Mus musculus: one gene and its partners. The protein of the gene in region 1 purifies or fractionates together with the protein of each later gene. This does not show direct contact. Links are inferred from orthologs where the notes say so. Each region holds a gene or a part of one and is shown in the gene's direction. Other genes may lie near its edges.

The links.
Region 2: the proteins of Cops5 (region 1) and Klhl42 purify together in Homo sapiens (affinity purification with mass spectrometry; 3 studies listed by BioGRID and IntAct, with this or other methods). This does not show direct contact. The link is inferred for Mus musculus from reciprocal best matches to the Homo sapiens genes COPS5 and KLHL42.
Region 3: the proteins of Cops5 (region 1) and Dcaf1 purify together in Homo sapiens (affinity purification with mass spectrometry; 8 studies listed by BioGRID and IntAct, with this or other methods). This does not show direct contact. The link is inferred for Mus musculus from reciprocal best matches to the Homo sapiens genes COPS5 and DCAF1.
Region 4: the proteins of Cops5 (region 1) and Asb6 purify together in Homo sapiens (affinity purification with mass spectrometry; 3 studies listed by BioGRID and IntAct, with this or other methods). This does not show direct contact. The link is inferred for Mus musculus from reciprocal best matches to the Homo sapiens genes COPS5 and ASB6.
Region 5: the proteins of Cops5 (region 1) and Txn1 purify together in Homo sapiens (affinity purification with western blotting; 3 studies listed by BioGRID and IntAct, with this or other methods). This does not show direct contact. The link is inferred for Mus musculus from reciprocal best matches to the Homo sapiens genes COPS5 and TXN.
Region 6: the proteins of Cops5 (region 1) and Cul5 purify together in Homo sapiens (affinity purification with western blotting; 6 studies listed by BioGRID and IntAct, with this or other methods). This does not show direct contact. The link is inferred for Mus musculus from reciprocal best matches to the Homo sapiens genes COPS5 and CUL5.
Region 7: the proteins of Cops5 (region 1) and Ddb2 purify together in Homo sapiens (affinity purification with mass spectrometry; 10 studies listed by BioGRID and IntAct, counting the BioPlex papers as one, with this or other methods). This does not show direct contact. The link is inferred for Mus musculus from reciprocal best matches to the Homo sapiens genes COPS5 and DDB2.

Annotation. Positions count from the first base shown.
Region 1 is NC_000067.6:10,035,339-10,039,323, reverse strand, and holds the start of Cops5 (COP9 signalosome complex subunit 5), read left to right. Parts: upstream 1-1,185; 5' UTR 1,186-1,313; coding exon of another isoform or gene 1,314-1,405; 5' UTR 1,406-1,511; coding exon 1,512-1,654; exon of another isoform or gene 1,655-1,662; intron 1,663-3,985. Other genes in the region: Cspp1 (centrosome and spindle pole associated protein 1), read right to left, coding at 980-1,185. UniProt on the Homo sapiens protein: Probable protease subunit of the COP9 signalosome complex (CSN), a complex involved in various cellular and developmental processes.
Region 2 is NC_000072.6:147,101,075-147,104,574, forward strand, and holds part of Klhl42 (kelch-like protein 42), read left to right. Parts: intron 1-491; coding exon 492-685; intron 686-3,500. UniProt on the Homo sapiens protein: Substrate-specific adapter of a BCR (BTB-CUL3-RBX1) E3 ubiquitin-protein ligase complex required for mitotic progression and cytokinesis. The BCR(KLHL42) E3 ubiquitin ligase complex mediates the ubiquitination and subsequent degradation of KATNA1.
Region 3 is NC_000075.6:106,873,924-106,877,423, forward strand, and holds part of Dcaf1 (DDB1- and CUL4-associated factor 1), read left to right. Parts: intron 1-132; coding exon 133-385; intron 386-2,365; exon of another isoform or gene 2,366-2,482; intron 2,483-3,500. UniProt on the Homo sapiens protein: Acts both as a substrate recognition component of E3 ubiquitin-protein ligase complexes and as an atypical serine/threonine-protein kinase, playing key roles in various processes such as cell cycle, telomerase regulation and histone modification.
Region 4 is NC_000068.7:30,822,597-30,825,300, reverse strand, and holds the end of Asb6 (ankyrin repeat and SOCS box protein 6), read left to right. Parts: intron 1-573; coding exon 574-660; intron 661-796; coding exon 797-1,461; 3' UTR 1,462-2,204; downstream 2,205-2,704. Other genes in the region: Ntmt1 (N-terminal Xaa-Pro-Lys N-methyltransferase 1), read right to left, coding at 2,683-2,704. UniProt on the Homo sapiens protein: Probable substrate-recognition component of a SCF-like ECS (Elongin-Cullin-SOCS-box protein) E3 ubiquitin-protein ligase complex which mediates the ubiquitination and subsequent proteasomal degradation of target proteins.
Region 5 is NC_000070.6:57,953,612-57,957,871, reverse strand, and holds the start of Txn1 (thioredoxin), read left to right. Parts: upstream 1-1,460; 5' UTR 1,461-1,661; coding exon 1,662-1,685; intron 1,686-4,260. UniProt on the Homo sapiens protein: Participates in various redox reactions through the reversible oxidation of its active center dithiol to a disulfide and catalyzes dithiol-disulfide exchange reactions.
Region 6 is NC_000075.6:53,657,508-53,661,007, reverse strand, and holds part of Cul5 (cullin-5), read left to right. Parts: intron 1-2,327; coding exon 2,328-2,437; intron 2,438-2,822; exon of another isoform or gene 2,823-3,050; intron 3,051-3,500. UniProt on the Homo sapiens protein: Core component of multiple cullin-5-RING E3 ubiquitin-protein ligase complexes (ECS complexes, also named CRL5 complexes), which mediate the ubiquitination and subsequent proteasomal degradation of target proteins.
Region 7 is NC_000068.7:91,216,567-91,220,066, reverse strand, and holds part of Ddb2 (DNA damage-binding protein 2), read left to right. Parts: intron 1-1,177; coding exon 1,178-1,323; intron 1,324-2,660; coding exon 2,661-2,760; intron 2,761-2,836; coding exon 2,837-3,014; intron 3,015-3,258; coding exon 3,259-3,401; intron 3,402-3,500.

The DNA of each region.
Region 1 (3,985 bases):
CAATAGTCCAGGGAGAAAGCGGGGTTGGAACTCTTGATTCTCCATTCTCCACCTCCCAAGTACTGGAATTAGAAGAATGTTGCAATGTCCTTGCTCTGTTTTGTTTGCCCAGCTCCTTGACTTTTTGAAACAGGGTCTCCTGCAGCCCAGGCAAAAGCACCTGCATTAGAAGAGGATACAGACGGGCAGTAGTGGTGCACGCCTTGAATCCCAGCACTCAAGCAGGCAGCTCTCGAGTTTGAGGCCAGCCTGGACTACATAGTTCCAGAACTGCAAAAACCCCGGGGTCCAGGTGAAGCAGCTACAGAGCCTTCGAATTCCTGTGAAGGAGCAGTTACTGACGAAGAGTTAAGGAAAGGCATCTCCGAGCTGTGCTTTTTAAAATCTGTGTGCTCTAAAGCAGAAATGTCAAGAAGTGCATTTCAAGCAATGCCTAACAACTAATATATTACTAAGCCAAGGAAAAAAGTTCTAATAGAATGAAAAACTGGGTTGGGGGAGCTAAAAGAAGATGATGAAGCTGGAGAAGTCTTTAAGAACCGTGTTACGAAAAAAATTAAATATATTAGAATTAAATAAAACACAAATTTCATGCATGCCTTCAACTTACAGTCTAGTGGGCAATTGGGGATGAGAATGTGAGGGAAGAAAACCTAAAAATACGACTGAAACAAATTTCACATTAACTGCTGGAAGGCACAGGTTGCGGAGATTAAATCTGCACTGAGACAAACCTTTTTTAAAAAGTAGCGCCTAAGGCATTCACCGCTCCTAACACTTGTATAAAATGTTACCCTATAAAGTCCCTAAAAAAGTTAATCTTAGCAACCGGTAACTTTTGCTTGCCACCTCGCAACAGTAGCGAAAACACAAAAGCGGAACGCCAACCACAAACCCCGGAGGCTTAACACACCGCAAATTATCTTAAAAGAGTCACGCGATCTTCCCCCTCCAAAACCAATAATCCGGAGATACTTACACCTCTGTTTCTCTAGAGATATTTAGTATTCCAAACAATTTATTTCGTTTGAAGCACCTACACTCACATAAACATAATTCCCCAAACTCAAGTTTCCTCCTACACACAATATGGTGGCATCTGAGTCTGCGCAGTACGAGCCGAGCCGGCCGACTCCTTCCTGGCAGGCCAATAGTCCCGCCTTCCGGCGCGAAAGGCTGTACCATTCCCACACCGAGGCTTTGCGTCCCTCGCAGTTCACACGAACGGATTTCCGAGCCAGCATGTTCTCGTTTCACCGGCAAGACTGATCTTAGCCGAGCCGAGCCGAGCCAACCCTAAGGAAGTGTTTTCTATGTCGCTGCGCCGCCGCCGCGCCCCAGCGCGCGAATGGTCTGGACCAACGTCACCTCCGGTCTCAAGTGTCATGGCTGCCTTGAGAGTCTAGTGAGTGTGCACCCTGGTGGGGAAGGTCCAAAGCCCGCACGCTGAGGCCCAGTAGAAGAAAGTTGCATCTTGATTGTGGAGCGACAGCTTCTCCGGTGCCTCGGCCATGGCAGCTTCCGGGAGTGGTATGGCCCAGAAAACCTGGGAATTGGCCAACAACATGCAGGAAGCGCAGAGTATCGATGAAATCTACAAATATGACAAAAAACAACAACAAGAAATCCTGGCGGCGAAACCCTGGACTAAGGAGTGAGGAGGTCCCTGGCGAGACGCAGGGGAGGGCAGGGATGGCGGGACTGTGAGAGACCCGCGAGGGGTGGGAGATGAAGGGTGTGGTGAGCTTGGCTTTCTGTGGGGCGTCGACCGAATATTGGCCACAGTGGCCTTAGTCTGCCTTGTCAGTAGAGCCTTACCTGTCCTCTAGGGCCTGCTTCGATTCCCCTTTTAGAAAGTTTCTTGCCTTCAGGGCGTGTAAAGGGCTGACTTGGGGTGCGACTTTTGTCAACATGATTATTTTTGTAAATCTCACACACTCTGCCTTGAACCTGGTGGCTACATGCAGTTAGTTGCAGCCTTCAGTAGATTCCCAAACTGAAGAGCGTGGCTGTTTTTATAAATCGAATGAGCAGAGCATTGATTTAAAAAAAAAAAAAAAATCCATGAGCTCTTGGATTGATTGGTTTGGTTTTTTTTCAGCTCTTTAGACACATACCAAATCCTCTTAGCAGTTCCCTACAATACTACTACAATTCATGTAAACCAGGAATTATAAGAGAGAGCTTAGAAGCATTTTCCCCAGCCAAATCCATGTATCTTTGGGATTGACGACAAGTCAAATGATTCTTTAGAGCAAATTGTATTAAGGAGAGTGAAGAAAAAAATTACAAAAGGTTGCTGAGTAGACTGTCTTGCTGTCTCCAGGTGTTTTGTTCTGATGGCACAGCTGGCTTTAACCGTCAGTACTCTGTTTTCAGTGTTTATTGAGTTCTTACTGTGGGCCTGGCACTGGCCTGAAGATTTTCGTGTCTTTTAATAATCTTGACAATCCAGGATTCTTTCCCTTTCTGTAAATAGAAAAATAAGCAAATACATTCAGAAACACACCTCATGGTCATACTATAGCAATGAGCTTAGGTTCAATAGACTGAAAATCAGGTCTCAATAACTGTCATTTAGACTGTTGACTGGCATTAGGAAACTAAAGTATCTAAACTTATCTATAAGATAAAGGTTAAACGTAGCTATTAATGATGTCATGAAGATGAGATAAGGTAATTTATTAAGAAGTTCTGGATGAGCCATATGTAATGAGAGCATAGTAATGGTTGTTTTTATCTTTTTCCCAAGTAGATGGAAAAGCCAGTTTTTTAATTTATATCTTGATTTCCAAGATGGTCTCAGTAACTTTGAGCTTGTGGTTGAAATCTAACAAAAGCTATATTTGGTTGCATGCATCCAGTGGGCCATGGCAACGCTGAGTGCCCCACACAGATTACTTAGCTGTTTCTAAAGCAAGCTGCGTGATTTAGGTGGATGTAAACTCAAGACTTCTTCACCATCTATGGCTATCCTAACATGTAGGGTATGTCAGGGATTTTAAACTGTTGTTCAAGAGTTTAATCACATACAATGGTTAGTCAAAGAAGTAAAGATACTAGATCACTCTCAAGATGCTATCAGAAGGAAGCCACAAGCTAACACACTTTTTTTGAGAATATCTTAAAACAGGTTAATAAGGCTGATAACAGTACCTTAGGTTTTAGTGTCTGTGGGACTAAGCACTTACTGTGTACTTTTCATACTAATAGGTGACATACCTATTTATAGATATGTGACATAGACATTAAGTGGCCCTACTCTCTCAGGTAGGGAGTGTCAGTGTAAGATTTTAGACCTAAGCAGGGCAATTTCAGAGGCAAACATTGTAGAAATTAAATCCTCTGGCTCTGTAGGTAATAATACTTGCTATCAAGCATGCAGACCTGAGTTCAAATCCCCAGCATCTATTGTAAAAATCCATGTGTGGATATGTGTGTGTGTAACCTTTTAGCATTGTATTGAAGGATGGCAGAGAAAAGGAAGTCTGTAAGCTGGTCAGTCAGCCAAAACAGTGAGCTTTCAGTAAGAGGCTCTCTCTGTCTCAAGGGGATGAAGTAATAAAATAGAGGAAAATGAGCTGGGCATGGTGACACCCACATTTAATCTCAGCAGAGGTGGGTGATCAAGTTCCAAGGTCAGCCTGGACTACTGGACAGCCAGGTTATACAGAAAAACGCAGTCTTAAAACAAAACAAAACAAAAGGTAGAGAAAGACCCCTGACAGTCCCTGTCATCTCCACATGCCATCTGGTGGCACACTAATAAACATGTACCACAGATAATAAATAAATAAATTACTTAATTAATAACTCAGTAAATTAAGGTCAGAAAGCTAGGCCTAAGAAGGTAATCAAGTATAATAATTCCATGATGATTGAGAAAAAAGGCCTGTGGACTTGATCATTACTCCCTCACCTCAGCAGTATATTAAAGTTTATCCCAGACTCTTTATTTTACCCAAGGGGCTGAGCTGTGACTGTG
Region 2 (3,500 bases), on another chromosome or scaffold:
GCACATCACTTCAGCATCAAGCTGCATTTTAATGCATCTCGAATTGCATGTAACAGAACAGAACGCATGTGCTCTTTAGGTAGTTATTGCAATCTCGTCTAAGGGGGATGGATGTCTGCACATGTCCAAGACAGATGCAATATGTCATTTACATTTGGGTCTGAAGCTGCTGGCTGGATGCAGGCATGGCATCTTCAGATGCGGAAGACTGAGTTCAGTGAGGCAGGTATCCTGATCCTGGCCTCAGGCCCACAAGCAAGATTGGTCCTTGTCACCAAGAGCCGCCTGTTTGGAGTTGCTTGTATCTGTGGATTCCCATTCCTGCCCTGCAGAGTGTGGAGTCCTGGGTACCAGAGTAACATTTGAGAAGTCACCTCTGCAGTCACCAGGCAGAATGGCTCTGACTGGAAAACTTCAGGACACCTTCTACCAGAGAGTGTCCTCCCATGTCAAGGCCAGAACTGACCTTTTGGTCTGCGTCTTCCTTTCAGATCTAACTTCAAACTTGTGGCTGTCAATTCAAAGCTTTACGCCATCGGTGGGCAGGCTGTTTCTAACGTGGAATGCTACAATCCCGAGCAAGATGCGTGGAATTTTGTGGCTCCCCTGCCAAACCCTCTGGCTGAGTTCTCTGCCTGCGAGTGCAAGGGGAAGATTTACGTCATTGGCGGATATACCACCCGAGGTGAGTGAGTGGCAGTCAACTGCTTTTGCATAAGCTGCAGCAACCTGGCTGGGTCAGGACTGGCTAGAAGAAGCTATGTATCTGAGTGAGATTTTATGCATCAGATGCTATATACTCGCCTTTTCTTAAAGATGTGAGCCCCGAGGCAGGATGGATTAGGCAGGAAGGACCTTTGATGACCTTATTTGAGCATGGACATTGTTCACATGGAAGAGGGAATTATAGAAGATTATGAATGTTCGTTGTGCTTCTAGAAACCCAGCCTTATGGTCAGTACCTGGAACCTGCCCATTTTGGAGGTTTGGGTCACAGCTTGGGAAAAAAGGGTAAACTGAGTTCTCTTCTCTCCCCAAGAGTTAAACCCACCCACCAGTGCCAAGCCAGAGCTAAGTCTGGCTTTTGCTTTACTAGATAGATACCCAGAAGGCCAGTTCTGGGGGCCCGTTTCTATGTCCCATGGAGGTGATAGGGTGTGAGCACAAAAGAACTTTTTAGACCAGATGGTTACACCTGTGCAGAGTGTTCTACTGTTTGCATGTACACATCTGTGTGATGGACATTTTATAGGAGTAGTGTGGAAAAGAGACAGTGCCCAGGTTCAGTGCTGCTGTGTGTAGCAGAGAGATCCCAGGCATCAGGGTAGAGAACATCATAGCTACGTGAGGGGGTGTTTCTGGGTGCAGGGAAGAGCCCTGTCCTTTGTCTTTGCCTCCCTTGAGGAGGCTGCCACCAAGTGGTCTGTTAGCTAAGGGCATTTACATCTGTGTTTGGTGTGTCTGGTGTGCAGAGCCCGTAGCTGAAGGAGAGGAATAACTGGACTCTTGGAGTTGCTTGTATGTTTGGCATGCAGGGGCAGACAGAGCTCGCTAGCCCTGCTGATCACTGCATGAGGGAGACTCTGGGTCTACAAGTGAACACAGGCAACTGTGTAAATGTCAGACACCAATAAAGTATTCAGATAGGTGGCCCATAACTGGGTGTGACTATGCACTCATGTGATGCTAGCACTGGGGAGGTACAGGAAGTGGGACCAATACTTTAAGGCCAGCCTGGGAGATGGTAGAGCAAGAGGAAGGGAGAGAAAGCTCTCAGCAGGGCGTCTTCCTCACCTCTTCACTCTCTTTCTGGTGGCTTCCTCATGCATGTCTGCTGTCTTCATGTGGCTTCTCCTGTAAGTCTCTACCTCTAATACGGATGCTGGCAGTTGGGTTTGTGATCCAGATCCATTTTTTAAATATATTTTTTATTAGGTATTTTCCTCATTTACATTTCCAATGCTATCCCAAAAGTCCCCCATACCCTACCCCCTACTCCCCTACCCACCCACTCCTATCTTTTGGCCCTGGCGTTCCCCTGTACTGGGGCATATAAAGTTTGCATGTCCATTGGGCCTCTCTTTCCAGTGATGGCCGACTAGGCCATCTTTTGATACATATGCAGCTAGAGACACAAGCTCTGGGGGGTACTGGGTAGTTCATATTGTTGTTCCACCTATAGGGTTGCAGATCCCTTTAGCTCCTTGGATATGTTCTCTAGCTCCTCCATTGGGGGCCCTGTGACCCATCCAATAGCTGACTGTGAGCATCCACTTCTGTGTTTGCTAGGCCCCGGCACAATCCCAGATCCATTCTGTTTAGCGTGTTTACAGCCACAGATCTGTTTTCAAATGAGCTCTCTCTGGTGAGCTGAGGTTGTGGATTGGACCTGCTTTGGGAGTGGGGTGCGGGCTCTACTCTCTGCAGCTGGCCTATGTAATTGTGCCTCTGAGAAGAGGCAGCAGCGAGGGAGGAGTGTGATGGAAGCCATGGACTATTTTCTTCCTCAGATGCTGTCACTTCCCAGTGGCCCCCACTAGGAATCAAGATAATTTGTCTTTGCTAGTGCTTTGCACCATTTGCACTGGGGCTCAGTACAGCATCGATTAAGTTCACAGCAATGCACGGCAGCTGACACTCCTGAATCCTACATCCTTGCTTCTGTTTTTCTAGGAAAGTAACTAGCTAGATTGTTTACCTACGGACATTTCTTCTTTCTTTCACGCAACATGGTTTGTGTTTTGAAGCCAGGTCTTACCCTAGCGCAGTCTATGGTGTAGAACTCTGTAGCTCAGTCCCCTTGTCTGAGCCTCCAGGTGCTAGGATTCTATGCATGAGCCACCACCGTGTCTCGGCGAGCTATTCAGAATACACTCTGGTTGACATGACACACGCTTGTGCCCCGGCTTCTCTTCCACACAGGAGCTGCTGGCTCCTGCTGGGAGCACTGTTCTTCTGGTAGATTTCCTGGCTCTTCCATGACCTTGGCTCAGCAAATGGGTTGTAGATTTGACCTGGAAAACCCTTCTTGTGTGTTTTGAGCTTCATGGCCACCACTAGCGTGCCTTCTTCACTTGGGCCACCCAGGATGATGTCCATCCCGGATTCTCCATGCCAGAGACCATTCTGTGCGGTCAGAGGTGGACTGGATGGGTGTTTGTGTTCTAAGCTGAGAGGGCTGGGCACTGGCTGGCCTCTCTAACCCTCCTCTAGCCTGGATTTTCCAGCACTTCCTGATAGTTCCTGTAGTTCCCATTATAAACAGCTCTTCCCAATTGTTTGGGGGAAAACAAACAGACAAAAACAAAAAAACAAACAAAAGAAGAAGAAGAGGAGGAGGAGGAAGAAGAGGAGGAGGAAGAAGAAGAGGAAGAAGAAGAGGAGGAGGAGGAGGAGGAGGAAGAGGAGGAGGAGGAGAAACCAGGACTTGAGTTGGATTCCCATCCTGTTGACTTCTTAGATGAGATTTTTTAAAAATTCAGTAAATAATGGTTCATGAC
Region 3 (3,500 bases), on another chromosome or scaffold:
ATCACTCCTGACAAGTCTGTCTACTAACAGTTTATTACTCTGTCCCCTTGATTGATAGGAGTCAATCACCATATGGCCCGTTCAGATTACGGCTTTGTGTTTCTCCTAATGGACTTCATGCTCTCTCACCAGGAAGAGGAAGAACAGGAGGAAGAAGATGATGATGAAGATGATGATGATACTGATGATTTAGATGAACTAGACACTGACCAGTTGCTGGAGGCAGAACTGGAGGAGGATGACAACAATGAGAATGCAGGAGAGGATGGAGACAATGACTTCTCTCCCTCTGATGAGGAGCTAGCAAACCTTCTAGAGGAGGGAGAGGAGGGGGAAGATGAAGACTCTGATGCAGATGAGGAGGTGGAGCTGATCCTGGGGGACAGTAAGTACAGGGCAGAGTCTGGGCGAGCCGCTGCACCCAGGCCAGGTCCTTCTGCTGTCCCAACCCATTCCAGAAGACAGCTGGGCTTGAGTTCTGCTGCCTCTCCACTCTGGCCCCTGAGGAAAAGCCCTGAGACATTAGTCAGCCTCTTCTCCCGTCAGACTCTATAGCCATCAGGTGGCTCCTCCTCTTAACTCATAAGCGAAGGTTTGCACACTTTTCTGTCAGAACAAAGGCAGTGCTTCTTTGCTTCCTGGGTCGTGTGGGCCCTGTCACAGCCTCAGATCCCCTGTAGTGAGGAGAAGGCAGTCACAGGCCAAACATGAAGTGATATTTAGAGCTGTGTTGCAATAAAACTTATTTACAAAATAGGTAGTGAGCTTATAGTTTTTGAATTCCAGCTTTAAAGTATTGGACTTAGAAAGGTGGAAGCATGGCTGTCACCTGAGGGTCTGGCTGAGGTCAGTTTGAAGCAGCTCTTCACAGGCTCCTTTGCCTCCGTGGCCGCTGTGTATAGATTAAGGGCCTTGTGTGGGAGAGCCTCTCCTGGCTGCTTTTGACCAGTCTCTCCTGAAGGTTGAGGAACCAATGCATCTGTCTTGTTCATTTCACCCTACCCCACTTCTTGTTCAGAACTCTAAAGAACAAACTCCAGTTTGTATAGTAATTTCCCACTGGTGGGTTTCTGAAGCCATTCCTATCATTGTTATGAATTCCCAAATAATCAGCTTTAAGACTGGGCAAACATTGTACTCTTGACATGTCTCTGTTGCCACGAGCGTGCCACTGTTGGCAGTTCTGGCTGCGGTCCTGAGTCTTATACTGATCGCTGCCCTGCCTGAGTGAAGAGTGATTCCTGTCTCACTTAGCTGGTATATATATATATATATATACCCAGCGTCCTTACAGGCATGGTAGGTGCTGTGTCTGATAATAGCAGCCACGTAGCACGGAGGGCTGTTGAAATATAATTAAATTAAAAATTAGCTTTTCATTTCCAATTGCTCTGTAGCATATGTTGCTATCGTGCTGAGCAGTAAGAACACATACATTTATATCATTTTATATCATGGCAAAGTTGTATTTTGGTGGCCTAGGTCAAGCAAACTTAATGGTGCTCTATCAGCCAGCCTCCTGTTTATGATCATGCTTCCTGGTAGGAGAGGTGGGTGGCAGTGTGCTTAATATAGAAACTTCTATTACATGTACTGTGCGCACACAATACTGCTCCTCTACCTGATGTAAGTTCATTTTCTTTCGGACAAATATCACTATGTGCTTATCGAGTTGGGACTGACAGTTGATTAAGTCCTCTTATCATATTTGAAGAAGGTCTTGGTGAGAGTGGGGTTGCTTATACCCACCTAGCTGTGGTGTATCATATTCAAAGGTTGAGATGATTCTGTGGGTTAACCCCTGGCCATGACCTCTGAGAGCTAGATAAGGACCCAGGGACATTTTAAATAAAACTTTAATAGTGAGGTGTTAGAGACAAAATTTTACCTCCCTTCAACAGGTTAGTAATGCAGGTTAGTTAGGTGGGCTCAGTCTACAGCAGGTGGCTGGAGCCACCTGCACTTGTAGGAGTGTCACTTGAGTTGCTTTTTTTGTTTTGAAATTAAAAATACTTTACCAAAACCCAAGATTTAAAGAAGTTTCCAGATAGACAAGACTAGTCAAAAGCTCCTTTTGAAGGAGAGACCCAACAAAGTTAGAGTATAACAGGGTGGCAGTACTGTCATTGGGTGTTCCATTTTGGTTTGGTTGGGCCTTTTCCTCCCCAAGCCTACTTAGAGTGAGAAGTGGCTAGACAGAGTTCAGAAGACCCGAGCTCATGCTTTTAACCAGTACAGTGAGGTCTCCATGAAAAGGGGAGGGGGTAATCTAGACAATGAAAATAAAACTACTTCCCCATCAAAGATAAAAGAGAGAAACCTTCCTTCCCCCTACTCTAACCCTGACAACTGCCTTCATTCACAGGGCTGTGTACTTATTCCATGATGGGGCAGTGAATGAGAGCAGAGAGCCGCTCGCTACCAGTGACGGTGTCCCAACAATCCAGATGACACTTCCAGCTTCTGCTCATGCCTTACAACAGTAAATGAGACATAGATGTGCTAATGTGCATTTAATCACCAGAGGAGCGAAGATATCTGGGCTTTTTTATTCTGTAATGTTTCTAAGCCTGTACCCATTAAATACAAAGAAAAATGGAAGGAGTCTTGGCAGAACAGCAGGGACACACCCACATGGTCATGAGAGGGGGTTGAACTGTTGTTACTCACGGCAAGGAGCCTGATCCGTGCTCCAACTTTTTCTAGGGCTTGGACTTGGCTCTTTTCATAGCACATTCCTAGTGCTGGGGACTACTTGCCTTCCACATACTTTAGCTAATCCTAGGTTGCTTGCATTGGGATGATACATTTTGGTCATGAAACATATTTCTAAGTTCTACATTGGGTCTTACTGTGGCAGACAGTTGACATGTAAGCGCCTCTTTGAGGGGGACTCCTGGGCAGCAGTGGCCATATGGTTCATTGCCCTCAGCTATTTATGACACAGGTGACCAACAAGGGCTCGGCCAACAGTGCTTGGATTTGCTCCATTATACAGGGCAGCGTGGTCCTCTCAGATCCTGAGTTTGCCCTGGCTGCCTAACATATTTTGCTTCATGACCCAGGTTGGCCTCAAGTTCCCCAACCCTTCTGTCTTCACTTTCTGAGTGCTAGGATTACAGGCATGTGCCACCACACCCAGCTTCAGGTTTTCCATTCCTAATTTGAATATAAACCCTCTCAATTTGTATTTGGTAACAGTATACCCTCTTTTCAGAATTTTGCTTAAATTCTAAAAATTAACTCTCTTAAAGCAAAGGTAATTTGGAAAACTCTTTTAAGTTACAAGAATATTGTTACTATAACCTGGGTGTAAACACTGACATAAAATACATGACATTTGAACATTTCTGCTTGCACTCTGAGGTGGAGACACAGCTGTCACCTACAGGTTGTCTTTTAGTGCTCTTCCCTGTGTTTTCTGGTCTGTCCTTTGTGGATGTTGCTATCCCTCATGACTGTCAGTGGAGCAGACTGATTGTACTGACCCCTCATTTACA
Region 4 (2,704 bases), on another chromosome or scaffold:
CTCTTCTGGTGTGTCTTAAAAAATCTTAAAAAAAGAGCACTGCTGATCTTGCAGAGGATCCGGCTCAGTTCCCAGCACCCACAGGGCAGCTCACAACTGTCTGTAAATGTAGTGTCAGGGGATCTCGAGACCTCATAGCGCACACAAACATACATCATGCAGGCAAAGCACTCATACATAAAATAATAAAACTTAAGTGCTGGGGTGGAGGGCTGGCCATCCCTGGGGCTGGACACCTGTTAAGGGTTCAGAAAAGACAGGCCAAGTGCCTGGGTGCTGGCCCCAGTCGATGGCATGGCCACACCTGGCATACGGGCAGAGGGTGGCAATTTGCCTGAGTCCAGCACCCAGCGACTCTGGAGAGAGTGTGGTCACTGTCTGCACACTGCCCCAGGAAGCATCTTTAAGAGGTGAGTATACCCAGCGTCTGTGTGTGGATGCAGGCGGGTCTTAACCTTGCTTGGCCCTCTTATTCCTGTTTTTGTGTGGATGAAATCAAGCCAGCCGCTCTTCCCTCGGCCTGAGAATCCTGCTTCCACCCTCCTCTGGGCCTCACCTCCCTCCTCTTTGTAGGGAAGACAGCTTTACTTCACGCCCTGGCCAGCAGCGATGGTGTGCAGATCCACAACACAGAAAACATCCGGCTCCTCCTGGAGGGAGGTGAGGTTCCCTGTCTGTCCATAGCTGTGGCTGCTGCTCCTCACCCCCCCCCCCCAACACACACACACACACATCTACACCATTGTCTGGTAAGGGCTGCTGGTCACCTCTCATTTCTGTTCCCATGGCTCTTCAGGGGCAGACGTCAAGGCCACCACCAAGGATGGGGACACTGTATTCACCTGCATCATCTTCCTGCTCGGTGAGACTGTCTGTGGGGACAAGGAGGAGGCCCCGATGATCAACCGCTTCTGCTTCCAAGTCACGCAGCTCTTGCTGGCCCACGGTGCCGACCCCAGCGAGTGCCCGGCCCATGAGTCCCTCACGCACATCTGCCTCAAGAGCTTCAAGCTGCACTTCCCGCTCCTCTGCTTCCTGCTGGAGTCCGGAGCCGCCTACAACTGCTCCCTGCACGGTGCATCCTGTTGGTCTGGCTTCAACCTCGTTTTTGAGAGGCTCTGCTCGCACCCGGGCTGTGCCGAGGACGACAGCCACATTGAGCTTCTGCATAAGGCTGAGACCGTGCTGGACCTCATGGTGACCAGCTCCCAGAGGCTGCAGCTGCCTGAGAACCTCAACATCCACCCAGTGGGTAGCCTGGCAGGGAAGATCCAGGCCCTTCATGCCTCCCTGAGGCAGCTCGAGAGCTACCCGCCACCTCTCAAACACCTGTGCCGGGTGTCCATCCGGCTGTGCCTGCGACCGTGGCCTGTGGACACCAAGGTCAAAGCACTGCCCTTGCCCGACAGGCTCAAGTGGTACCTGCTCAGTGCACACAGTGATACCCAAGACACTTGCTGACAAGTCCCAGGGTGGAATGATCTGGGGTACCTGAAACCAGCCTGAGGATAGACCTGGCACCTATAATGGCCTTTGGGGGAGGGGTCCCTTTTATCTGGGAAAGGCCTGCCCTTTACTGCTATGAAACCACTAGGGTGGTGCCCTGGAGGCCAAAGGCATGGAAGGCTGCTCCAGGGAGATCCCCGCCCCCTCCCTCTCAGTGTTTCACAATGGGAGGGGCCAGTGCAGATGGGATACAGCTGCCCTCTGTATTAGGAGCTGACCAGGCTGTGCACAGGGAATGAGGCCCAGGCCCCTCAGAGCCCTGGCAGCTGTGGTTCGTCCCATGGCGGAGGCACATGCCTGGGGTTTCCCAGGACCAGTGCCAAAAATCCTGGGCCATTCAGTAAGGCCCTACCCATTCATTCTGCCGCCTCGGGTCTCATGATGCCTTTGAGGAGCTGGGGACAGAACTGAGGCGGCCACAGGCTGGTCTTCTGGGTTAGAGGCCTGCCCAGTCCTGTGGTGGTCAGGGCTCTGGCACTGTGGTTGGTGGTAGCTCTGCTCATGCCACACCCAGGTCTCGGGGCTGGTGCCTTCTGTTTAAAGGCATCACGAGCACAGCAGGATTTATGAGGGGCCCAGAAGACACTGCTGAGGCCTGAAGCTGGCTCCACTCTAGTGCCAAGCCCTCACGAGATCTTCGCAGTCAGCTTGGCTTTTGGGAATGAGCAGAGATGATTAAATATATTTATAAGATTAAACTCTGTGTCTTTGTATGACAATTTGGCACGCTCAAGCGATCTGACATACATCCACACACAGACTGCCTGGGGCATCTGAGAATAGGACTCACCCTTTTATTGGCTGTGTCAGAGAGGAGCTCCTAGGAGCTGCAGGCTGCTGTGACCCATCACCAAAGAGGATATGGGGCTGTGACCATTTCTGTAATTGGTACTGTCTGGCAGGTACCATGTGTGGCCTGGCTGTCCTGGAACACAGCAGTCCACACATTGAGGTCCCTAGGCAACCAAGTGAAGTCTTTCCCCTCAGGCAGCTAGACCAGCGGTGACCAACTCTGCTTTCCATAGCCCTGTGGGAAGTTGCCAGGGTGCTTTAGAGTGACAGGGCTGCAGTGCCCCAATCCAGGGCACACCTCCCCTAGGGCTTGACCCTTCCCACTGGAGTCAATGGTGTGTCTCTTGGCCTGCCAGCTGCTGGCCCCCAGCTCTGGCCCTGGCTTCATCTCAGGGCAAAGCTGTAG
Region 5 (4,260 bases), on another chromosome or scaffold:
CAAGTTCTACAGGTCAGTGTTTGACTACCAAAAAGCCAGAAACCTGGAATGTAGCTGGACTGAAAAGACCCGACAGCTGCAAAGAGAATTAATAGATTCTGCTCATCTGCCTGGGGTTCCTCTCTGCCTCAGCTGTCCTAAAGGGAAGGCTACTGCCTTTGGGGCAGCATCCACCCGCAGTCTAGGGCTATGTTCAGAACACTCCCTCTTGTCTACATCCTCACTCATTACTTGAATTCCTCAGCCCTTCAAAAACATCGCACAACTGGTTCTGGTATTTTAAATGTTTTGAACAAGGGAAGCCAGTGGGTAGGGGTAGGGTGGCTGAGACACAGTTTCATTAGCCTCCCGTGCTTCACCTCGATGTAGATTTATCTAGATCGGCTCTCCAAATGCAGGCTTGGTGAGTTCCTCCCAGGATGCTGGCTCTGTCCAGTCTCCACCTCAGCTGCTTCACCAGAACATACAGCGGCACTCTTGGGGCTGCACAAAGCCACCTTAAGAATCTTAGCTTCTTCCACCATGCCCTGTCCTCCTGAACATCACCTCAGTTATCATTGAAGAAGACTCTTCCTGGCGTCCTCTCCCAAGGCGGAAAAATCTCCTCAAAGCCTATACTGTCATTGTAAATACAAGGCAGCCAAACTCAGCAAGGCCCCACAAGGCACCACGCAAGCTTAATTAGCGCTCGCGATGACTATAATTAGAATAATTCATTGAGTGCTTCCTTATGGGCCAAACGCTGTCCTCAGTCAGTTTTCAAGCCCTTAAATCCTTCAAGACAATGCTGGGAGCTAGACTATCCGATCTCTATCATGCCTACATGTGCATGGGGCACAGAACAGGGCTCTAAACGGCTCTGTGCCTCTCCCAGTAGCAGGTTCACCTGTTAAAGTTAAGGAATAGGAGAGAGAGAGGAGAAAGAAGCGGCAAAGAACTACCCAGAAAGTTGGCGAGGACGCGCACTGAGACACTTCCTGGTCATCGTTACTCAGCACTTTGAGTCGAACTGCAGCATGGCCGCCCTAGTCTAAGGATACACCTCTGCCTGGGCAGTCCTAGGGACTGTCCCCAGCCCCAATCTGGAAGTATCTGACTTAGGTCTAGTTTGGGGCATGGGCAGTGTGATTACAGAAGGACTCTACGGTGTGAGAGAGGACCGTGATCTACCCCGGCGCTGTTCGCTGTTAAAGTGCCCTTGAGGCAGCTGGAAGTTGGCTCTTAGGGGTAGCTGCCGCGCGGCGTCTGGAGCCTGGAAAAACCCGAAGCTGCTCCAGGAGCCTGTGCTAGCTCCGCCCCTTATAAACTAAGGTTCTTGTTCGGCAGCTTAGAGTGGGGCGGGGAAGCCAGGAGTGAGGCCAGCGCTAGGACAGTCCCCAGGCTGCACTAGTAGCCGACTCTGGCTCCGCCCCCTGGAAAACCGCCCCACCTCTTGGGGGCGTGGTCTAGGCGCGGCCTGCCCAGGCGCCTTGGCGGACGCGGGAGGCGGGAAGCGCGTCCCCGCCGCGCGTGCCCGTCCGCCCCGCCCTGCTGCGCTCCGCCCTATTTCTATAAAGAGAAGGCGGGCGCCGCACTCGGTTGCAAGCTCCGTTGGGCGCCTTGGATCCATTTCCATCTGGTTCTGCTGAGACGCGTGTGGCTCCCTCCCCGCAACAGCCAAAATGGTGAAGCTGATCGAGAGCAAGGTACGCATGCCCGGGCGCCGCGCACATCCCGCGGTGCTGAAGAGGACACTCTCGGTGTCCCCGCGGGCTTAGCGGCCCAGGGCCTGTGTGCGCCCTCGGCGGTGGAGCATGCCCTGGGGGAGGGGACGAGGGGACCCTGGAACGCCGGGTACGGGAGATGCACTCGTGGGCAGCACCTGAGTCCCCGGAGCTGCACTCCCTACCGCCAGCCCAAATCTGGCGGAGGTGAAGAGATGGACCGGGGTCCTCCTGTGACACTCCCCCCTTCCCGTGCCCCAACTGAATCAGGATTTAGGATCTCTAGGAAAAGATGGAGAGCCGCCACTTCTCGAGTACGCGGTGCCACACGCCGCGCGGGTGTGTTGTACTGCTGGGCTCGGCCTTAGTTTCCCTCCATCAGTGACCTGCCGCCTAGAGGACACAGGCCAGGTCGGTGCATGAGGGTGGGTCTCGGGTCCCAGTTAAGTACCCTCGGATCGGTACCCCAGGTGACTACTAAGGAGAAAGGTCCAGGCCGCGCCCGAGAGACTCCTCCTCCTGCGTCGCAGGGCGTGTTTCCGGCAGCTCTGGCTTTGGAATGACTCAGTCCCCAAAGTCTGGCCCCGGGGCCTCGCAACCTTAAGGTTTCAGTGATTGACCCTCCATAAGTGGGCTTTGCTGGAACCAGGGCTCTCCCCCAGGGAGTAGTCAAGTACAAAGTCCTGCCCTTTGGGAAAAGAAAAATAATACCCAAGGGAAAAACTGTTACCATATTCGAAAGTTACTGAGAACCAAAATATCCTCCAGATTGGGAAACCCAGAGCCTGTTACACTGTAACTATTCGGGGAATATTTATAAAATGAAAAGTGAAAGGAGGTTGGGGGTGGAAATTGATGTGTGAAAGACTGGCTCACCCTTAAACTAGGAAATCCGTGGAAGACAGGTCCGCGCCCTCCAGTTTTGAGCACCTGGTTGGGTCTCAGTACAAAAGTTGGCTCACCCACTACCAGCCATATTAGTCCCAGCACCCAGTTGGATCCTTATCTGTTTAAACTGACCTACTTATGGAACCTTTGCCATTCCAATAGGAGCGGTGTACATTGGTGCCAGGAAACCAGTTACTCGGAAAAAGCTTGGGCCCCAAAAGCCTGCTACCAAGGCTCTGATCGGAGTCGCCCAGAATCAGAAGTTAAACTGAATACACATAAATTTCATGTGATGGGCTTAAGTTGATTAATTAAACTATGTAAAATGTAGCCTTATTTCTGACGACTGTGTGGGTAGTTAAAGGCCCCTGGGGTCAATCTCCACACAGGAGTGGAATAATAGGCTATGATATAATGGCTCAGAAATCAACAGTTGATTTGCCGTGTTTATCTTTAAGAATAAAATTATTCCTTGAACTACACACACACTTTGCTCAGTGCTTCACAGACCACGTGTTAGACCAAGGCGTTGGCTCATGCCTCTAATCCCCAGCGCTCAGGAGGCTGGGCTGTCTCAAAAAAAAAGCAAAGAACACTTTGTTATTTGCTGAATATGGTTTTGTTGTTGGGGCTTTCTGTTTCGGTTTATATTCACATATAGGGGTGGGGCATCCATTGGCAGTGGTCAGAGGACAACTTGAGAGAGTTGGCTCACTTCTACCTTGTGGGTCGTGGGTATTGAACTCAGTTCGTTGGTCTTGGTGGCAGGCACTTTAATGTGCTGAGCCATCTTGCCAGCCCCTGAATTGGGTATGTTTGAGAAAAGAGATGATAGCATCTGCTCCGGTCTACTCCGGGTGTGTTGTTTTGTCTCCAGGTTATTGGTGTCAGTACTGGCGACACTTGCCAATTGTGGTTATTGGTTTCTAGAGCTAAAAATTGTGATGTGCTTCTTAGTAGATAATTTTGAATACTCTTCAAGCCAATACAGATCGGCAGAAGAAAACTTGTTTTGCAAGTTTGCACATCCCTGCCTCTGTAATTGGTGTTCACTGAAGCCCGAAATTAGGATTGTGAGCCGCATTTTCAGTATTTTGAGTAGTGTTGCTTGGTTTTGCCTCATAGCTTTTGGGGGTAAACCTTGAGAGTGTTTGAGATGCAGTTTGCCCTGTTTTGTCATGTAATCTCATCAACTGGGACTCAGGTCCCAGCTAAGGACCCTCGGATTTGGATCGGTACCCCAGGTGACTGCTAAGGAGCAAGGTCCAGGCCGCTCCCTAGAGACTCCTCCTCCTGCGTCGCAGGGCGTGTTTCTGGCAGCTCTGGCTCTGGAATGACTCTTTTCTTATTGAGGATCAATCGTGGTCCAGATGTGGGTGTCATCAGAGCAGCCTGCCATACCACCTTGACCTGTGTCTTACAATAAAGAATAGGTGCTGTGGCCTCTGATAATTACATAAGGGGAGATTTTGTAAGAGAATTATCTGCAACAACCAGTGGTGGTTGGGAACAGTGGTTTCCATTGCTCTGCCCGCTCTTCACACCCAGACATGGATTTGATGGGCAAGTCTGACTAGACGTCTCTGGAAGCTGTCGTAGCCATTCTGTAGTGTTCTCAGAAATGACATGTGATTGTTTTCCTTGAAAGAAAAAAAAATGTGAGATAGAA
Region 6 (3,500 bases), on another chromosome or scaffold:
AGCAGTATCCTTAAAAACACTTGTGTGGTCTGGCAGGTCAGACCAGCTACTAAAGCTCTTGCTGCCAGGCCTGAGAACTTGAGCTCAGTTCTCTGCAACTCTCACGGTAGAAGAGAGCCTACATTCAGGAATTGTTCTCTGACCTCCAAATGCACCTGCATAGGAAGATGTAAAGTAAATAGGTAGAACTGTAAAAAGTAAGCTATATAGAAACAAATCATGAGTTTCATAAAATAGTGCTACTTTACTAGAAAATGAATGGGAGGGGGAGGAGTCAAAAAAGAAAAGAAATGAATGAAATTTATTGGCCAGAACAAGTTGTATAAATACATTTAGCCTGAATAGGAGCTAAGCTCTTGACTGGTGCAAATGAGGTTGTTCCCTCTTTCTGTCTAGTACCTGACTAATTAATTTGTTTTTTCCTCCTAATAAGATACTATTCATAGGACAAAATGGTTAGGATGAACTAGTGTTTTCATATACTTATTTGATAGTGCTCATTTAAATCTTTGTATATGTTTCCTTTGTGTCTTATGCTGCTCTCAAATTTGATGTCAAGATTTTATTAGCATTGTAAGATGAAATCTTTTCTTTTGGCATTGATTTCAACCAACTGTGGGTCAAAGTACTTTTTTTAAGTACTTAAAAAAATTTAGACTTTTAAATGTATACAGATATTTTCCTTGTCACTTGGTAATTATTTATATAACATGATATATTAAGAATTAGAAGTAAGCTGGGTGGTGATGGCCTATACCTTTAAACCCAGCACTTGGGAGGTAAATGACTCTCTGAGTTTGAGGCCATCCTGGTCTACAGAATGAGTTCAGGACAGTCAGAGATATACAGAGAAACCCTGTCTTGGTCAAAACAAAACAAAACAGCAGGATTAAAGGTGAGTGGCACCACTGCCTGGTGGGCTTTTGTGGGTTTATAATGTTTTATTTTGTTTCTTTGAACTGGGTCTTTGTAGCTATAGCTTGTCCTAGAACTCACTATGTGGATCAGGCTGGCCTTGAACTCACAGACATTTATCTGTTTCTGTTTCCAAGTTCAGCCACCACACCCAGCCTCCCTCCCTCCCATTTTTAAAAACACATCATCCATGGACATAAATATTTTACATGCATGTATGTGTAATATGTGCATGATGGGGGTCCCTGAAGTCTGAAGAAGGAGTCAGATCCCTTAGAAGTGGAGTTGCAGAGAGTTGAGTTACCACCAATGCTAGCGTCTAGACCCAGTTCTTTGCAAGAGTAGTAAGTGCTGTTAAATGCTGCGCTCTCTCTGCAGCTGACAGCTTTACAGTGGGAAGAGTTGAGTACAGCTTCAGAATTAGAGGATTAAGTCTCTCTGTAAGATACCCATTCATTTTCAACACCAGAAAGACTCAGGCTTTACTGCAAGCTGGCATAATTACTGTTATTTGTTATGTAGCTGCAACATTCAGTTCAAGATCAGCTTAAGAGAGAGAAGTATAGGACGGAGTCTAGGAGGTCCCGAGTGTAGTTTCTGTTATCCTTCCCGTGGTCAGTGTATGACAATATACACAAATTATGCCTAAGGAAGCTAATCTAACTTTCTTCCTGTCCAATTTGTGTGGAATTTCTTCACAAAGACGAGAATGTTTATGTCCATGAGTACTTTGAACTCTACATTGACACAAAGCCCTTCTTTAAATTACATTGTTAATCTTTTAAATTGGCCAGCCCCACTTTTGAGACCATGTTGACCCTGCCAGTCCCCTACCAAAACTACATTTGTTAGCTAAGGTTCATTTTAGGTACACATTCCCATTGACCATGGATTATCTGCCGGAAGGAACCAAGAGGGAAGGCCACACTCTTTATAACAAATTCTTCCCTGTGCATTCCACTTTAATCTTAGTATTGCTGTCTGTTTCTTCCCCCTTCTCCTAGGATTGACCCCTGGGACTCACGCACAGCCTATAATTCTGACCTATAAATCAGCCCTGATTTGTGTTTATAGTTATCTTTGATTCCCTGCTATAAGATTAACCCTATAAGAACTCTTGTTTTGGAAAGGTATTTGTTTTAAATTTGATCTCTCTATTTTTCTGGGCTCTTTTTTTTTTTGGTTTTCGAGACAGGGTTTCTCTATAACCCTGGCTGTCCTGGAACTCACTTTGTCTGGCCTCGAACTCAGAAATCCGCCTGCCTCTGCCTCCCAAATGCTGGGATTAAAGGCATGCGCCACCACGCCCAGTCTCAGGCATCTTTTAAGAGATATTTTTAGATAAAAGTATGTGAAACTTTTGTATTTAATTGATTTAAAACAAGCCATATTTTATCTCTTTTGTTTTTAAGAATAAAGGTTCTCTCCAGTTTGAAGACAAGTGGGACTTCATGCATCCAATTGTTTTGAAGCTTTTACGCCAGGAATCTGTAACAAAACAGCAGTGGTTTGATCTATTTTCGTAAGTAATCCAGTAATTCTGTTTGTTAACAGTGGGTTTTGGTGGCTTTCCATACTGGATGGACAGTATGAGTTTAAGTGATAGGAAAACCTGTATATTGTTACTTAGTTGTGTTGGAGATTCCCAAGACAGAGTAGAGTCTAGGTTCCTTGACGTGCTAGGTGACCTTATAAGCCTGAACATACAGCGAAAAGACATATGGGTTGAAATTGGAAGATGTAAGGGGGAGATTAAGCACAGATTTCCAAAGGTCCTTTTCCAGGGGATTCACCTGGGACATTACGTTCTTTTTCTTAGATTAGTTTATCTCATTTTATGTGTATGAGTATTTTGCTTGCTTATATGTCTATGTAATATATGTGTTCTTGGTACTGGTGGAGGACAGAAGAAAGTGTTGGATCCCATGGAAATGGAGTTAGTGAGCCACCATGTGGGTGCTAGGAAATGACCTCGGGTCCTCTGCAAAAATAACAAGTGCTCTTAACTGCTGAGACATCTCTCCAGCCTTGGGACATTTAATTTCTTCAGCAGGAAGATTGAAAACATGTGATATGTTATCAAGAGTTAATGAAAGTGGCTATATAGTCATTCAAATTCTGGATTCCTAGGAAGAGTAAGTATAAATTCAGTAAAAATCAGGATGTTTGTGTTATCAGTTTAGATAAACTGAACCAGTGTTATCATTTCAGGAAGGTTTTATATAGATGTGGGAACCTGTCAGTTCTCAGATTTCAGTCTAAGGCTAACCTTACAAACAGATTTTTTTTTTTTTTTTAAGGAATTGAATCTCAGGTCTGCTTTGTTACTGCTTAGCCCTTGGCCAAATGTCTAGAGAACAGTTATTGTTAGAAGTCCCTAGGAGGCAGTGTAGCAAGTTTTAACAACCCTATTAATCACAAAGTTCACCTTAGAAGCCAAATGAGATGGTTTTCTCCTTCAGTTTCTATGTGAACAGTTAATTTAATTTAATATGTATGAGTGTTTTGCCTGCATATGTACAAGTACACAGTGTGCATTCCTGGTTCCTTTAGAAACCAGAAGAGTATGTCAGCCTCCATGTGGC
Region 7 (3,500 bases), on another chromosome or scaffold:
CTCCTTTCAAAACAGGGTTTCTCTGTATAACAGCTCTGGCTCACCTGGAACCAGCTTTGTAGAACAGGCTGGCCTCAAACAAACAGAAATCTACCTGTCTCTTTCTACTCAATGCTGGGATTAAAGGCATGTACATCACTGCCTGGCTTTAGCTCTTACTGTATTTGTTACTTTATTTGAGACAGTCTATTAGCCCTGGAACTATATATAGTCCTGAAACTCACTATGTAGACCAAGTAGGCCTTGAAATCGGAGATCTGTTCTGCCTCTCAACTGCTGGCTAATGGTGTGTGCTCCTATTCCTGGCTTGGTTGGTTGGTTGGTTGGTTATTTATTTATTTGTGTGTTTGTGTGTGTATGTGTGTGTATGTGTGTGTGTGTGTGTGTGTGTGTGTATGTGTGTGTATGTGTGTATACATGCATGTATGCCTTGTGTACAGGAGGCCAGAAGAGGGTATTGGATGCCCTGGAGTTGGAGTTATATGCAGTTTGAGCCATCTTATGTAGATGCTAGGAACTGAACTCCAAACAGCAGTAGGTGCTCTTCACCATGAAGCCATCTCTCTAGCCTCTTAATAAATGTTAAGCCATAGGTGTTACTCCCCACTTTTCTAATTTGTAGGGGGTGGGGAGGATGTGTGTAGTTGGGGGTCAAACCCAGGGCCTTGTGCATACTAGGCAAGTGTTCTTACACTTCCTAGACCTCCAGGCTCAGTTGTGTCATCACTGCTTAAAATGTCTGGAAGGACAGGAAAGAATACAGATAGTTCCCTGTCCACCAAACATCGCTTTTTTTTGAGCTGAAGCTCTTATAACAAGAGCATGCTGCGGTTTCCAAGGTTTGAACGTGAGAATGTAAGCCAGAAATGTGATAAAGTAGGGCAGCATGAGGGAGTTTTTATGAAGTCAATGTTTGCATCTTAATTTTGGGGGTGGCTAGGCTATTCAGATATTTGTGTGTGTTGAAATTCGAAGAGCCGTGTACCAGAACCAGTCATATTTACTACCTCTTAATCGACAATATAAAAGTCAAAATAAAGCCTTAAAAACAGATATTCTAATGTGAGGTATCTAAGCTGGCCTTGGTGTTGCTGCCTCGGTGCTGTCTGGGTGCCCAGACCCGGCCCCGCACTTCTGGCCCATCATTACTCACTGGCTTTTTCCTTCCTTATGTTAGATTGGAGCTGGAGGAAGCATCACTGGGCTGAAGTTTAACCATCTCAATACCAACCAGTTTTTTGCCTCCTCAATGGAGGGAACAACCAGGCTGCAGGATTTTAAAGGCAACATTCTCAGAGTTTATACCAGCTCAAACTCTTGCAAGTGAGTAGTTAACTTGTAAGGGAAATGGCTTCTAAGCTCTAGATGCAGTTTGCTGAGAACATACCCAGTTCTGTTTCTGTCACTTTGGCCCAGCACAGGGAAGACAGGGATCTTAGCCACTTTGCACCATTCCTTTTCCTCCTTAGATTCTGGTGGCTCTGACTTTGACCTGAGTGGGTCGTTACACTAGGAAGGCATTCTGGATCCTTAGCTCTTGTCTTTGATGGAAGGGCTTAATTACTTCTGTAAGTTATAGCTGTATTAAATTAGACCTTTACTTTCACAGGATAAATCAACATGGTATTTTGCTTGGAAAGGTATTTACAGAGTAGAGCAGGAATCAAGGACAAGTTTAGCCACGTGTGGTGGTATTTACCTTTAATGGCAGCACTTGGGAGGCAGAGGCTTGTGGATCACTATGAGCTCTAAGTCAGCTGGGTCCGTCTAGAACTACATAGTGAGGGCCTATCTTAAGAAAAGAAAGAAAAAAGGGGGGCAGGAAAGAAAAAAAAAGAAGTGCAATGTTATTGCCCTCCATTTTCCGGGATGTAATGGCCTTGCTGTCTCCTTGGTGGCAGTGTTAACAGGTGGAAGAATCCTCCTAAGAATAAGTGGCTGGAGAAATTACACATGCAGGCCACTTTGATGTCTAGCCAGAGACACAGTTTTGCTAAGGATGATATGTGGGTGTGTGCAGTGAGTCTAAGCAGCTTGGTTATTATTCTGGGCTGTCCCATAAGGTTGAGAACAACATCAGGAGAGGGGACTAGATGGACTTGGAGTTCTCTTGGCTTCGAATCAGCATCCATGAAATACCTGCTTCTTGAGTCTCTTTTTTCTCACATAGTTTTCGAGAGTAAAAAGGTTCTGGTAGTCTTTGATTTTTTTTTTTTTTCCCTAAATGCTCAGAAGGGGACAGATGTTCACGTCTAGCCAGCTTCGAGGAGCTCCGCTGAACAGTTCCTGTTTGCTTTGCCCTCTCCTTTGGTGCAAAGACTGAGGAGTGATGAGTGGGAATAGTAAATAAAACTCTTCATTCCTGGGCTGTGGGGAGCAAGCTAGCCTTGTAATTTGTATTCTTGCTCTGAGGTTCCAGGAACTAGCTGAGGATTCTGGGCTCAGCAATAACTGGACACATTTCTGAGTTCTGTCAACTCTTTCTGTACTCTTTCACAGCCCTTTTCTGCAAGGTAAACAAGGCTGAAAACCCTCCACTGGAAATTTATAGTAAGACAGTTACTCACTGATTCAACAAATACTTGATACTGGAGTTGTCACAGTGACTAAACAGACTATCTCAGTCTCGAAGGGTCTTACAGCACACTCTCTCCCTCTAGGGTCTGGTTTTGCAGCCTTGATGTTTCTGCCAAGAGCAGAGTGGTGGTTACAGGAGACAATATGGGACATGTGATCCTGTTGAGCACAGATGGCAAGGAGGTGGGTACTGTGTGGCCCACGCCCCATCCCCTCACCCCTCTTTGGTTCAACACCTGAACCAAACTTTTCTCTGTAGCTTTGGAACCTCCGAATGCACAAGAAGAAAGTAGCCCACGTGGCCCTGAATCCCTGCTGTGATTGGCTTCTGGCCACAGCCTCCATAGATCAAACAGTGAAGATTTGGGACCTGCGCCAAATTAAAGGGAAAGACAGCTTCCTCTACTCACTGCCTCACAGGCATCCTGTCAATGCAGGTGTGACATCCCAAACCCCATCTTCCTTATGTGCCCTGTCTTTCTCACCACCAGCCATCAGGTCAATGGTGTGTAGGACCCTTTCTGGCTCCGACCGCTCCTTTGGCAGTGGAGTTGCCATGGTAGTTTTGTTCATAGTTCAGATTGATCTCTCCTCCCCTACCTAGAAAGGAAAGGTATTTTGGAAGATCAGGATACCAGGGGCTGAGGCTTCCTTCAGCTTAAGGGCTTTTCACTTTGTCAGCTTGTTTTAGCCCAGATGGAGCTCGGCTCCTGACTACTGACCAGAACAATGAGATTCGGGTTTACTCTGCCTCCCAGTGGGATAGCCCCCTGAATCTGATCTCCCACCCTCACCGCCATTTTCAGCACCTCACACCCATCAAGGTGAGTGACAAGAGAAAGGGATCTGTCATTATGGGAAGGGGACAGATCTTTCCATGTTGGGGGAAGGGTCACATACACAGCCTACAATCTCAGAATAAC